3 linked regions of the Macaca fascicularis genome follow. The protein of the gene in region 3 purifies or fractionates together with the protein of the main gene of each other region. This does not show direct contact. Links are inferred from orthologs where the notes say so. Each region holds a gene or a part of one and is shown on either strand. Other genes may lie near its edges. The genes, in order: tubulin alpha-1C chain, TLE2 and CCT6A.

Evidence for each region.
Region 1: the proteins of CCT6A (region 3) and tubulin alpha-1C chain purify together in Homo sapiens (affinity purification with mass spectrometry; 3 studies listed by BioGRID and IntAct, with this or other methods). This does not show direct contact. The link is inferred for Macaca fascicularis from reciprocal best matches to the Homo sapiens genes CCT6A and TUBA1C.
Region 2: the proteins of CCT6A (region 3) and TLE2 purify together in Homo sapiens (affinity purification with mass spectrometry; 3 studies listed by BioGRID and IntAct, with this or other methods). This does not show direct contact. The link is inferred for Macaca fascicularis from reciprocal best matches to the Homo sapiens genes CCT6A and TLE2.

The regions. Positions count from the first base shown.
Region 1 is NC_088385.1:56,088,178-56,091,065, forward strand, and holds part of tubulin alpha-1C chain, read left to right. Parts: intron 1-1,525; coding exon 1,526-1,748; intron 1,749-1,878; coding exon 1,879-2,027; intron 2,028-2,888. UniProt on the Homo sapiens protein: Tubulin is the major constituent of microtubules, a cylinder consisting of laterally associated linear protofilaments composed of alpha- and beta-tubulin heterodimers.
Region 2 is NC_088393.1:3,729,596-3,733,956, reverse strand, and holds the start of TLE2 (transducin-like enhancer protein 2), read left to right. Parts: upstream 1-1,418; 5' UTR 1,419-1,546; intron 1,547-1,814; exon of another isoform or gene 1,815-2,145; 5' UTR 2,146-2,182; coding exon 2,183-2,206; intron 2,207-2,283; coding exon 2,284-2,381; intron 2,382-2,695; coding exon 2,696-2,759; intron 2,760-3,209; coding exon 3,210-3,254; intron 3,255-4,361.
Region 3 is NC_088377.1:74,153,716-74,157,362, forward strand, and holds part of CCT6A (T-complex protein 1 subunit zeta), read left to right. Parts: intron 1-102; coding exon 103-262; intron 263-360; coding exon 361-443; intron 444-1,289; coding exon 1,290-1,386; intron 1,387-1,964; coding exon 1,965-2,112; intron 2,113-2,165; exon of another isoform or gene 2,166-2,300; intron 2,301-2,509; coding exon 2,510-2,643; intron 2,644-3,468; coding exon 3,469-3,571; intron 3,572-3,647. UniProt on the Homo sapiens protein: Component of the chaperonin-containing T-complex (TRiC), a molecular chaperone complex that assists the folding of actin, tubulin and other proteins upon ATP hydrolysis.

The sequences.
Region 1 (2,888 bases), on a different chromosome or scaffold from region 3:
ACTGACTGAGTCTTGGCTGTTTCCCAGGCTGAAGTGCAGTGGTGAGATCTCTGCAGTCGCCGCCTCCTGGGTTTGGGTTCAGGTGATTCTCATGCCTCAGCTTACCCCAAGTAGCTGGGACCTATAGGCGCACACCACCGTGCCTGGATAATTCTCGTATTTTTTCTTTTTTTTTTTTTTGGAGACGGAGTCTTGCTCTGTCGCCCAGGCTGGAGTGCAGTGGCTGGATCTCAGCTCACTGCAAGCTCTGCCTCCCGGGTTCACGCCATTCTCCTGCCTCAGCCTCCCGAGTGGCTGGGACTACAGGCGCCCGCCACCACGCCCGGCTAGTTTTTCGTATTTTAGTAGAGATGGGGTTTCACCGTGTTAGCCAGGATGGTCTCGATCTCCTGACCTGGTGATCCGCCCGTCTCGGCCTCCCAAAGTGCTGGGATTACAGGCTTGAGCCACCGCGCCCGGCTAATTCCCGTATTTTTAGTAGAGACGGGGTTTCAGCATGTGGCCAGGCTGGTCTTGAACTCCTGACCTCAGGTGATCCGCCCACCTTGGCCTCCCAAAGTGCTGGGATTACTGGTGTAAGCCAGCACCTGGCCAGAAACAACTGATTTCTTAACCTATCAGTAAAGTCTTGGTAACATTTCTAGCCTTTATTATTATGGTCTTCCCTCTCCCGGAGATGTTTTGATGGTGAAGGAAAAATGTTCTTCCTAACAGATTCTTCTGCATGGTTAAAAAGCTGCCTCTGACCACAGTTTTTAAAATACAGCTAACTGCTGCTTATCCAGCATTTTCTTCATGAGTCATATGGCTGTAGTTTGCTGGTTTAAGCTGGTTTTAAAGGAGGGAGGCAGAAGCTTTTGTCTCCCAAAGAATAGGATTAAAGCAGGACCAGAATGAGCTCAGTAGTTACACAATCATTCAGAGAATGAATCAGAGCTGGAAAGGGGAATTTTGCCTTAGTTTAAGGAATCATATCTACTGTGGCTACAAAGCAACGGTCTGGTCTTGCCGAGTAGTTCATGAACATATCTTTGGTTTTCCAAGGCATTTTTGCTGAATTAGGTCTTCAAAAATTTTTACTTTTGAAAGTAGTCCCTGAGCAGGAGTGGCCTGCTGAAAAATGGTTATCTTTTTTTGTTTGAGATGGAATCTCTGTCACTCAGGCTGGAGGGCAGTGGTGTGATCTCAGCTCATTGCAGCCTCCACCTCCTGGGTTCAAGTGATTCTCCTGCCTCAGTCTCCCAAGTAGCTGGGACTTACAGGTGTGTGCCACTATGCCCGGCTAATTTTTTTTTTGTATTTTTAGTAGAGACACAGTTTTGCCATGTTGGCCAGGCAGGTCTCGAACTCCTGACCTCAGGTGATCACCTGCCTCAGCCTCCCAAAGTACTGGGATTACAGGCGTGAGTCACTGCGCCCAGCCAGTTATCTGTCTTGAAGGTTAATCAGTCATTAGGTGTGAATCATTCCTAAATGTCCCATCTGATGTATCATATCCTGACATTTTCCTTTCTTCCTCCCACAGCGTGAGTGCATCTCCATCCATGTTGGCCAGGCTGGTGTCCAGATTGGCAATGCCTGCTGGGAGCTCTACTGCCTGGAACATGGCATCCAGCCTGATGGCCAGATGCCAAGTGACAAGACCATTGGGGGAGGAGATGATTCCTTCAACACCTTCTTCAGTGAGACGGGCGCTGGCAAGCATGTGCCCCGGGCCGTGTTTGTAGACCTAGAACCTACTGTCATTGGTGAGTTGACCTCAGTAACCGAAGTGAGATCCCAGGGTGCTGGGACAGGAGGTCTGTCCTGGGGGCTCCGCTAGTCACCCACTCACCCACTCTTTCCTTCTCCCCTGCTCCTCACCGTCATCTTCTCCAGATGAAGTTCGCACTGGCACCTACCGTCAGCTCTTCCACCCTGAGCAACTCATCACAGGCAAGGAAGATGCTGCCAATAACTATGCCCGAGGGCACTACACCATTGGCAAGGAGATCATTGACCTCGTGTTGGACCGAATTCGCAAGCTGGTAAATAAAGTGGGGCAAGAGTTTCTTTTGTGGTTCTGAGACCAAACTACAAAAATCATTCTTTGCAACTGAAATGAGACTATTGGCATTGCAACTAAAATGCGACTGCTCACTAAATTAATTGGATCTCTGAACCAGATGGTCTTGGGTTTATGGGATAACTATGGGGTAGGAGGAAGTGCTCATTAGCCTATTTTGATTCAAGCTGAGACACCCCTTTTGAGGTCATCTTAGTCACACTGAGTGAGTAGGTGGCTGACTTCTATATACAACTAATTGATTAAAGTCACTTAAAAAATCTGGACTGGTTCCTTCATGTCAATAAAGTTCAGAGAACAAGAAGCCAGTGTCACACTGACAAGAAACAGCCAACAGTGGAAACTTCCAGTACAGCTGAAAGTGGAGTCGGGAGCTTCCTTATGAAGTGTGCTGTTTGGATCACTTTAAGAGCCTGGCAATCAGATGACTCTTTGCTCCTTAGGCATGTGGGCAGCTTGTAAGTAATTAACCAGAGATCAAGCATGATGGCCTGGGCAGAGTAACTTGTCAAGAAAATCACATTGTATTAAGCCCAGCCATGACTGCTCCATTCTAAAAAAAAGAATGGCCTCATCATTCATGGCTTCATACTTTCCTCAAATGTTTACGTAGTCTTCCCAGAAAAACTGGACTGATGTTTCCTATGCTTAAAAACTAAGCTTTAGTTACAAGCACTGACTTGGAAATCAGGACCTGCCTTTAGGGACAAATAAACCTAGTAGCTAGTTAGGGTTCTGGAGTGAGGTTTATTGCCTGCCAAAATAATTGCATTTGTCCTTAGCATTACTGGGTTCACAGGAGGCTTAATGGGTGTAATTGGTA
Region 2 (4,361 bases), on a different chromosome or scaffold from region 3:
GACTCAGAGAGGGCAGGGATCTGTCTCCTTTATCCACCCTTAAAATCCCAGTGCCTGGAAGGATGCCTGGCACGTCGTAGGTGCTCCGTAAATATCTGTGGGCTGGAAAACGATGGCTTTAAATTTGATAAGGGCTTTTTTTTTTTTTTTTTTTGAGACAAGGTCGTGTTCTGTCACCCAGGCTGGAGTGCAGTGACGTGATCTCTACTCATCGCAGCCTCGACCTCCTGGGGCTCAGGTATCTCCCGCCTCAGCCCCCCAACTAGCTGGGACCACAGGTGTGCACCACCATGCCTGGCTAATTATTTTTTCATTTTTTTGGTAGAGATACAAAAAATGCAAACATTTATTTTGTATTGTCGCTGCGTTGTCCACACTGGTCTTGAACTCCTGGGCTCACACGATCCTCCCTCCTCAGCTTCCCAAAGTGCTGGGGCTACAGGCATGACCCACCACTCCTGGCCCATTGACCTGGCCCATTGATAAGGCTCTTGTGCCCATTACAAAATGGGTTTTTGTAACCCTAACCCTTAGGTACCTTAGGTATTCGTTCATCTAAGGGCACAGGTCCAAGCATGATCAAGGGGCATGGATTTTTCTCTGTTCTGTTTCCAGCTGTGCCCCAGTGTCTACTGCAGTGTGTGGTCCACAGTATGCACTCAGTACATGTTTGTTGATTGACTTAACGAACCTCTCCTGAGGTTTCTCCAGAGAGAATAAGAGCTTCCCACTCCCCAGGTGGGCCTGAAGGATGCTGGCTGGATGTCTGTGGTTTCTGGTCGGGGCTGGAGCCTTTGCCCTGGGTGAGACTTGAGTCTGATGGCAGAGCTGTGGTTCTTCCAGTTCTAAGTGGGACATGGCCCCTGCCTTCAAGAAACCCAGTGTGAGAAGGGAGACAGCGCAGTCCACTGGTGATGGCAGTAGGAATACAATTCCTATCTGTGGAAGTTTGCTCTGTGTAGGGAAATGCTGAGGGCGTTCATGCACCATTTCATTTAAGTGTAGTACCTAGTGCCGTGGCTCCCGCCTGTAATCCCAGCACTTTGGAAGGCGGAAGAGAGAGGAATGAGTCCAGGAGTTCAAGACCAGCCTGGGCAACATAGTGAGACGCTCCTGGTCATCTCTGCAAAAAATTGTAAAATTAGCTGGGCATGGTGGTGCACACCTGTAGTCCCAGCTACTCGAGAAGCTGAGGGGGAAGGATCGCTTGAGCCCAGGAGTTCGAGGCTGCGGTGAGCCATGATCGCCCCACTGTACTCCAGCCTGGGCAACATAGTGAGACCCTGTCTCTGCAAAAAATTAAACACTAAAGATCGCGCACCATCCCTGACCTTTTGCAGAGACTACTGAGGCCCCCAGAGGGTGAGGGCCCCGCCTGATCTGGGAAGCAGTGTTTGCTGTGAGATTCCCTTCCTGGCAGGGCTTCCTGCGAGCGCTTGGCAAGGCTGCGTCGTCCTGACCCTTCCATCTCAGCCCAATGTCACTTGCTCAGAAAAGCTATTTCCGACTCCAGAGGGGCCCCCGCCCTCCGCAAGCCCCCCCAACGGTGGGTAACACCATGTGAATTTCTTCACTGGTGTTTCTCCTCCCGCCCCTCCGGGAGGGGGTGGGGACCCCGTTTTGCGGCACTGGGCGCCTCCCCACTCGGCCTCAGTTTCCCCACAGGCCCAGGGACTGAAGGAAGGGGGCGGGTGCCCGGGGACCCGGACGCGCGGGCGCAGGGAGGGGCGGCGCGCGCGGGGGTGGGCGCGGGGCGGGCCGCGGGTGCGTGGGGGCGGCCGCGCCACCTTAAGGCGGCTCAGCCTGCGGCTCCCGGCCGAGCCCCGCCGGAGGGAGGCGGCTCCGCGCGGGGCCCGCCGCCCGCGCCGCCGCCGCCGAAACCCGGCCGCGGCGCGCCCGACCTTCTGCGCCGGCTGCCGCGGCCGCCCTCGCCGCGCCCCCGCCCCGTCCGCTGCTCCCGCCCGCCCCGCGCGCCCCGGCCCGGGGAGGGGCTCCCACGACCCCGGGCGCGCGCGCTTGGGGGCGCGCCAGGGACTCCAGGGTCCCTTGCCCCGCGCCGCCTCTCCCTCCTCCCTCTTTCTTCGGGCAGCCTCCCCCCCACCCCACTTCAGCCTCCCCCACTCTTGCCGCCTCCATATCATCAAGCTCTGGTGGCGCTTGGAGGGCTTCCGGGATCGGCAGGATGTACCCCCAGGGAAGGCACCCGGTGAGTGGGGGCTGCGGAGAGGGGGTCCCCGGTGTCCTGGAACTCAGACCCTGACGTCCCTCCCCAAACCCCCCCAGACCCCGCTCCAGTCCGGCCAGCCCTTCAAGTTCTCTATCTTGGAGATCTGCGACCGCATCAAAGAAGAATTCCAGTTTCTCCAGGCTCAGTACCACAGGTGAGGGGGGGCCGCCCCAGGGGCCGCGGGAGTTCACCTGGGCGCCGGGGCGGGGCGGGGCCTCCGGGGAGCAGGGCGGGGAGGAGGGGCTCCCAGGGCGCGGGAAAGGCCTCCAGGTGAAAGCGCAGGTGCAGAGGGGTCTGGGGACAGTCAGAGCTGGGGCATTGGGAGCCCAGGAAGGGGCGGGGAGGGACTGGGACAGGAGGTGCTGGGAGGTCTGTAAGGAAGTCGGGAGGGGGAGATCCAGCCCCTCACTTTGGAAGCCGGCCCACATGGGGCGGTTGGGAGCCCCTTGCCCTCTCTCTCCTTCCCAGCCTCAAGCTAGAATGTGAGAAGCTGGCCAGTGAGAAGACGGAAATGCAGCGACATTATGTCATGGTGAGGGCACTTATGATGCCAGGGTGCGGGGAGAGGCGGGCAGGGCTTTGAGCCACGGTGGACTCTGGGGTAGGTCCCTGCCCTTCTCCGAGCCTCGTCTTTCCTGTCTGTACATTGGGCGGCTTTGGGATTTCAGGGTCTCTCTCTCGGAGGGTCCACCCAGCTCTGGGAACAGGGAGACAGGGAGGACCTCTCGCCTGGTGGGGCCAGGGCCTCTGGACGCTTCCTACCTGCCCTGCCTGTCTGGGGAGAGTAGAGGGGGCCCTTCCAGGCAGAACCCCGGCTTTCTCCTCTGGGCTTCTCTTCTGAGACCCCGTGGAGCTGGGGGTGCTCTGCGTCCTGCTGTGATCCCCCGAACCTGGGGGGCTCTTGGAAGACCCTGGCATCACCTGACTGGAGGAGGGCACCCATCTCCACTGCAGAGGTTCTTACTTGGTTTTTCCTTTTCAGTATTATGAGATGTCTTATGGTCTCAACATTGAAATGCATAAGCAGGTAACTGGGTTGGTGTTAAGCGTGTTCAGGAGGGAGGATGGGGGTCTGGAAGCCCTGGGAGGGACCCAGTATGGGCAGCCGGGGCCAGAGCAGACCTAGGGAACACGGGTCTCATCCTGAAATCTCCTCAGAGGTCACAGAGGGCCTATCTGGGACCAGGAAGGCAAATTTCAGCCTCATGGAAGGAAAATGAGTCCCAACTTCTGAAGACAGTAGCCAGCAGTTGAAGCGTCCAGCAGAGAGGCAGGCAGCGGGCAGGGGCCACCAGGCATCCCCATCAAGGAGGGCACATAGCAGAGGCAGGGCAGCCAGGCCAGGGAGGCTGTGGAGGTGACTTCTGTCCCGGGAGGGGGCTGGATGAACACTCTTCGAGGTCCTTTTCAGCCCAGAGAGTCTGAAGTTTTGAGATGGACTCCAGGTTCTGTTCCTGCTTTGAAGCTTCTGAGATTGGTCTCAGTGTGATTGGCTAAGGTTCCGAGATTGTTCTCCAGGCCCTGAATTTGATGCCATGGTTCAGACTGTGACCCCACTTTTCCAAGACAGACCTCAAAACTCTGTGGCTATCTTCAGGGCTTTGAGACTGACCCCAGTGCCATAAGGCTCTGAGCCTCTTCCAGAGCTTCTCAGTGTGATCCAAGGTTCTGAGGTAGACCTCAAGGTTCTGAGATAGACCTCAAGGTTCTGAGATTGACCTCAGGGTTCTGAGATAGACTCAAATTTCTGAAATTGACCTGAGGGTTCTGAGATAGACCTCAAGATTCAGAGATTGACCTCAAGGTTCAGAGATAGACCTCAAGGTTCTGAGATAGACCTAGGGTTCTGAGATTGACCTCAGGGTTCTGAGATGGACTCAAATTTCTGAAATTGACTTCGGGTTCTGAGATGGACCTCAGGGTTCAGAGATAGACCTCAAGGTTCAGAGATTGACCTCAATGTTCAGAGATAGACCTCAGGGTTCTGAGATAGAACTCAAGGTTCTGAGATAGACCTAGGGTTCTGAGATTGACCTCAGGGTTCAGAGATTGACCTCAATGTTCAGAGATAGACCTCAGGGTTCTGAGATAGAACTCAAGGTTCTGAGATAGACCTAGGGTTCTGAGATTGACC
Region 3 (3,647 bases):
CGAGCTTAGTGAACTGTTAAATCTTAGGACTAAACCAGTTTCAGAAGCTACTTTCTTAGAATGTTTCCCTGTTTTCTGTAACCTTTTTTTTTTTCTTAATAGAGAAGTGAGTTCTGGCTTTTTTTACAAAAGTGCAGAAGAGAGAGAAAAACTCGTAAAAGCTGAAAGAAAATTCATTGAAGATAAAGTTAAAAAAATAATAGAACTGAAAAGGAAAGTCTGTGGTGATTCAGATAAAGGATTTGTTGTTATTAATCAAAAGGTGAGAATGAAAACCCAATGTATAAACTAAATAGTATGTATCATCCTTTTTGCTTTTAAGGTGAAAGATGTTGAAATTAATTTTTATTTTTGTTATAGGGAATTGACCCCTTTTCCTTAGATGCTCTTTCAAAAGAAGGCATAGTCGCTCTGCGCAGAGCTAAAAGGAGAAATATGGAGAGGTATCCGAGTAATTTGACTTTTACTCATTTTGCAAGTGAATTAGGATTATTTTTCCTTACAATTTATTTTCGGGTTTTTCAACTGTACAATGAATTGTCGTTAACTATATTCACATTGTGCACCCCGTCAGCACTGTCCATCTCTAGGACTTTCTTCATCATCACAAACTGAAACTGTATACCCATTAAATAATTACTCCCCATTTCTCCCTCCCCCTTGCCCCTTGTAAACATTATTTTACTTTTTGTCTCTGAATTCAGTATACTTTTTCCCAAAGAGCTCACCACAATAAGAAGCTTTTAAAAAATTTTTTTTATTTTATTGTTATTTTTTGAGACAGTCTTTCCGTGCTGTGCAATGGCATGATCTTGGTTCATTGCAACTTCCACTTCCTGGGTTCATAGGATTCTCAGCCTCCCGAGTAGCTGGGATTACAGGTGTCTGCCACCATGCTCACTGAATTGTTTTGTGTTTTTTTAGTAGAGATGGGATTTTGCTGTGTTAGCTAGGCTGTTCTCAAACTCCTGGCCTCAAGTGATCCGCCCACCTCAACCTCCCGAAGTGTTGGGATTACAGGTGTGAGCTACCATGCCTGGCTAATAAAGAGCTCTTGTCCACCTTTAGATTTCATTTGCTGACTTGGGGAGAGTGGTTTAAATGGAGGGTTAAGAGAAAATGCTAGTTTTCAGCTGGTTGATGGCAAATGGAAAGGCTTAGATTAAAGTACATTTTAAAATGTAATTTTGTGTGTAATTCTGGAAGATTCCTTCCTAAAAATTACTGGTCTTGTCTTTGAAATTCACTGGTAACATTGCTTATCCATCTCCCTTAAAATGCTATTTCAGGCTGACTCTTGCTTGTGGTGGGGTAGCCCTGAATTCTTTTGACGACCTAAGTCCTGACTGCTTGGGCCATGCAGGACTTGTGTATGAGTATACATTGGTAAGTGTATTTTCTTCTTCAAGGTAATAGAACCTTTTAGCTCATGAATTATTTTTGTTTGTGTGAGATGGGGTCTCACTCCTGCCCGGGCTGGAGTGCAGTGATGTGGTAACAGTTCACTGCAGCCTCATCTTCCTGGGTTCAAGTGATCCTCCCTCCTCAGGCTCCTGAGCAAATGGACCACAGACATGTGTGCTACCATGCCTGGCTAAATTTTTTTTTTTTTTTGGTAGTTTTTGTAGAAATAAGTTCATACTGTGTTGCCCAGGCTGGTCTTAAACTCCCGGGCTCAGGCTGTCCTTCACCCTCAGCCTCCCAAAGTGCTGAGATTACAGGCATGAGCCACTGTGTTCATGAAGTCTTGAGCAGAAAAATTAATTGAAATTCAGGATCAGATTTTTGTTTGGGGAAAATCCCATTTCTTTTATATGTGATTTTTCAAAAGGAGATAATTTGCTTTAATGTGATCAAGTTTATTCCTTATTAATATGCTGCTTGTCATTCTCTGTAAGTCCCTCTTCTGTCTTCACTCTCTGCACAAATCCTGTTTTTGAAAATCATATTTTTTCTACACATAGGGAGAAGAGAAGTTCACCTTTATTGAGAAATGTAACAACCCTCGTTCTGTCACATTATTGATCAAAGGACCAAACAAGCACACACTCACTCAGATCAAAGATGCAGTGAGGGATGGCTTGAGGGCTGTCAAAAATGCTATTGATGATGGTAAGATCCTCACTGTATTTCAATTCTATTATATTGTTTTGCTGGTCTGAAAGGCATGGCCGAATACTGTGTTCTTTTATCAGTAGTTTACACAGCCAGACACCATGCAAAAGCAGTCTTCCCTTTAGAATGACCAATGGTATGCTAAGGTTTTTCATAGCATATCATTATTAAAGGTGAATACAGATAAATGAAATAATACTGATCTGTTGAAAGAGCTGCCAGCGGCTAGTGAAGCCATTCTGTTGAAACATTCTCCTATTTGATATGTTAGTCGCTTGTATTTTGTCTTAGTAAATCTGTAAGAAATTAATGGCTTTCATATGTGTATTTTAGTTGTTGTTCATAATTAGTTCTGCAGTTTTCTTAGCATTTTTCCTTTTCCCCCATTCAACAGGCTGTGTGGTTCCAGGTGCTGGTGCTGTGGAAGTGGCAATGGCAGAAGCCCTGATTAAATATAAGCCCAGTGTAAAGGGCAGGGCACAGCTTGGAGTCCAAGCATTTGCTGATGCGTTGCTCATTATTCCCAAGGTGTGCACGCTTTTAACAGTCAATCTTCTAAAAGATTTAGCTGATCAAACCTTTTTGATAATGTAGGCTTTATTCATAATGTGGATTTTGGATAAGCCAAGTTTGATCAGTTTTCTTCCTGACTCTAGAACAGGTATTCCTCATCATCCAAATGTATTTGGTTTCTCTGGGAGGCCTGAATAACTGACGTTTCAGATAACAAGAGATAACCTGTAGTTTAATATTTGCAGTATTAGGGGTTATACTTGAGTACAAACTTGCTTTTTGCTTTTGTTTTAAACTGATACTATTTTCTATTATATACTAATTTTGAGGTATAATTTATGACTGGTATATTGCTGCTGGGTTTGAGGTAGATGAGAGAATTGATCAGTAACTTGTGTCTGGTTATTCTCTGAAGGAAGCATAAATGTTCTGTCTTCATGCAATGAGATTTTTTTGTTTGTTTGTTTTTTTGAGACGGAGTTTTGCTCTTATTGCCCAGGCTGGAGTGCAGTGGTGCGATCTCGGCTCACTGCAGCCTCAGCCTCTCAAGTAGCTGGGATTACAGGCACTTGCCACCACACCCAGCTAGGTTTTTGTGGGGTTTTTTTTTTTTTTTTTTTTTTTGTATTTTTAGTAGAGATGGGGTTCCACCATGTTGGCCAGGCTGGTCTCAAACTCCCGACTTCAGGTGATCCACCTGCCATGGCCTCCCAAAGTGCTGGGATTACAGGCATGAGCTACTGCACCAAGCTGAGATTTTCTTTTTCTTTTTTTTCTTATCTTTTTTTTTTTTTAAACAGTTATTCCTGTTTTCTCAAGAATTAAATTTGTTTACTTTAGGTTCTTGCTCAGAACTCTGGTTTTGACCTTCAGGAAACATTAGTTAAAATTCAAGCAGAACATTCAGAATCAGGTCAGCTTGTGGGTGTGGACCTGAACACAGGTAAGAGAATGCAACTGTTGTAGAGGGAAAACTAGATGTAATACATGTGAGTTGAAGCCAGGAAAGATTGAAAATG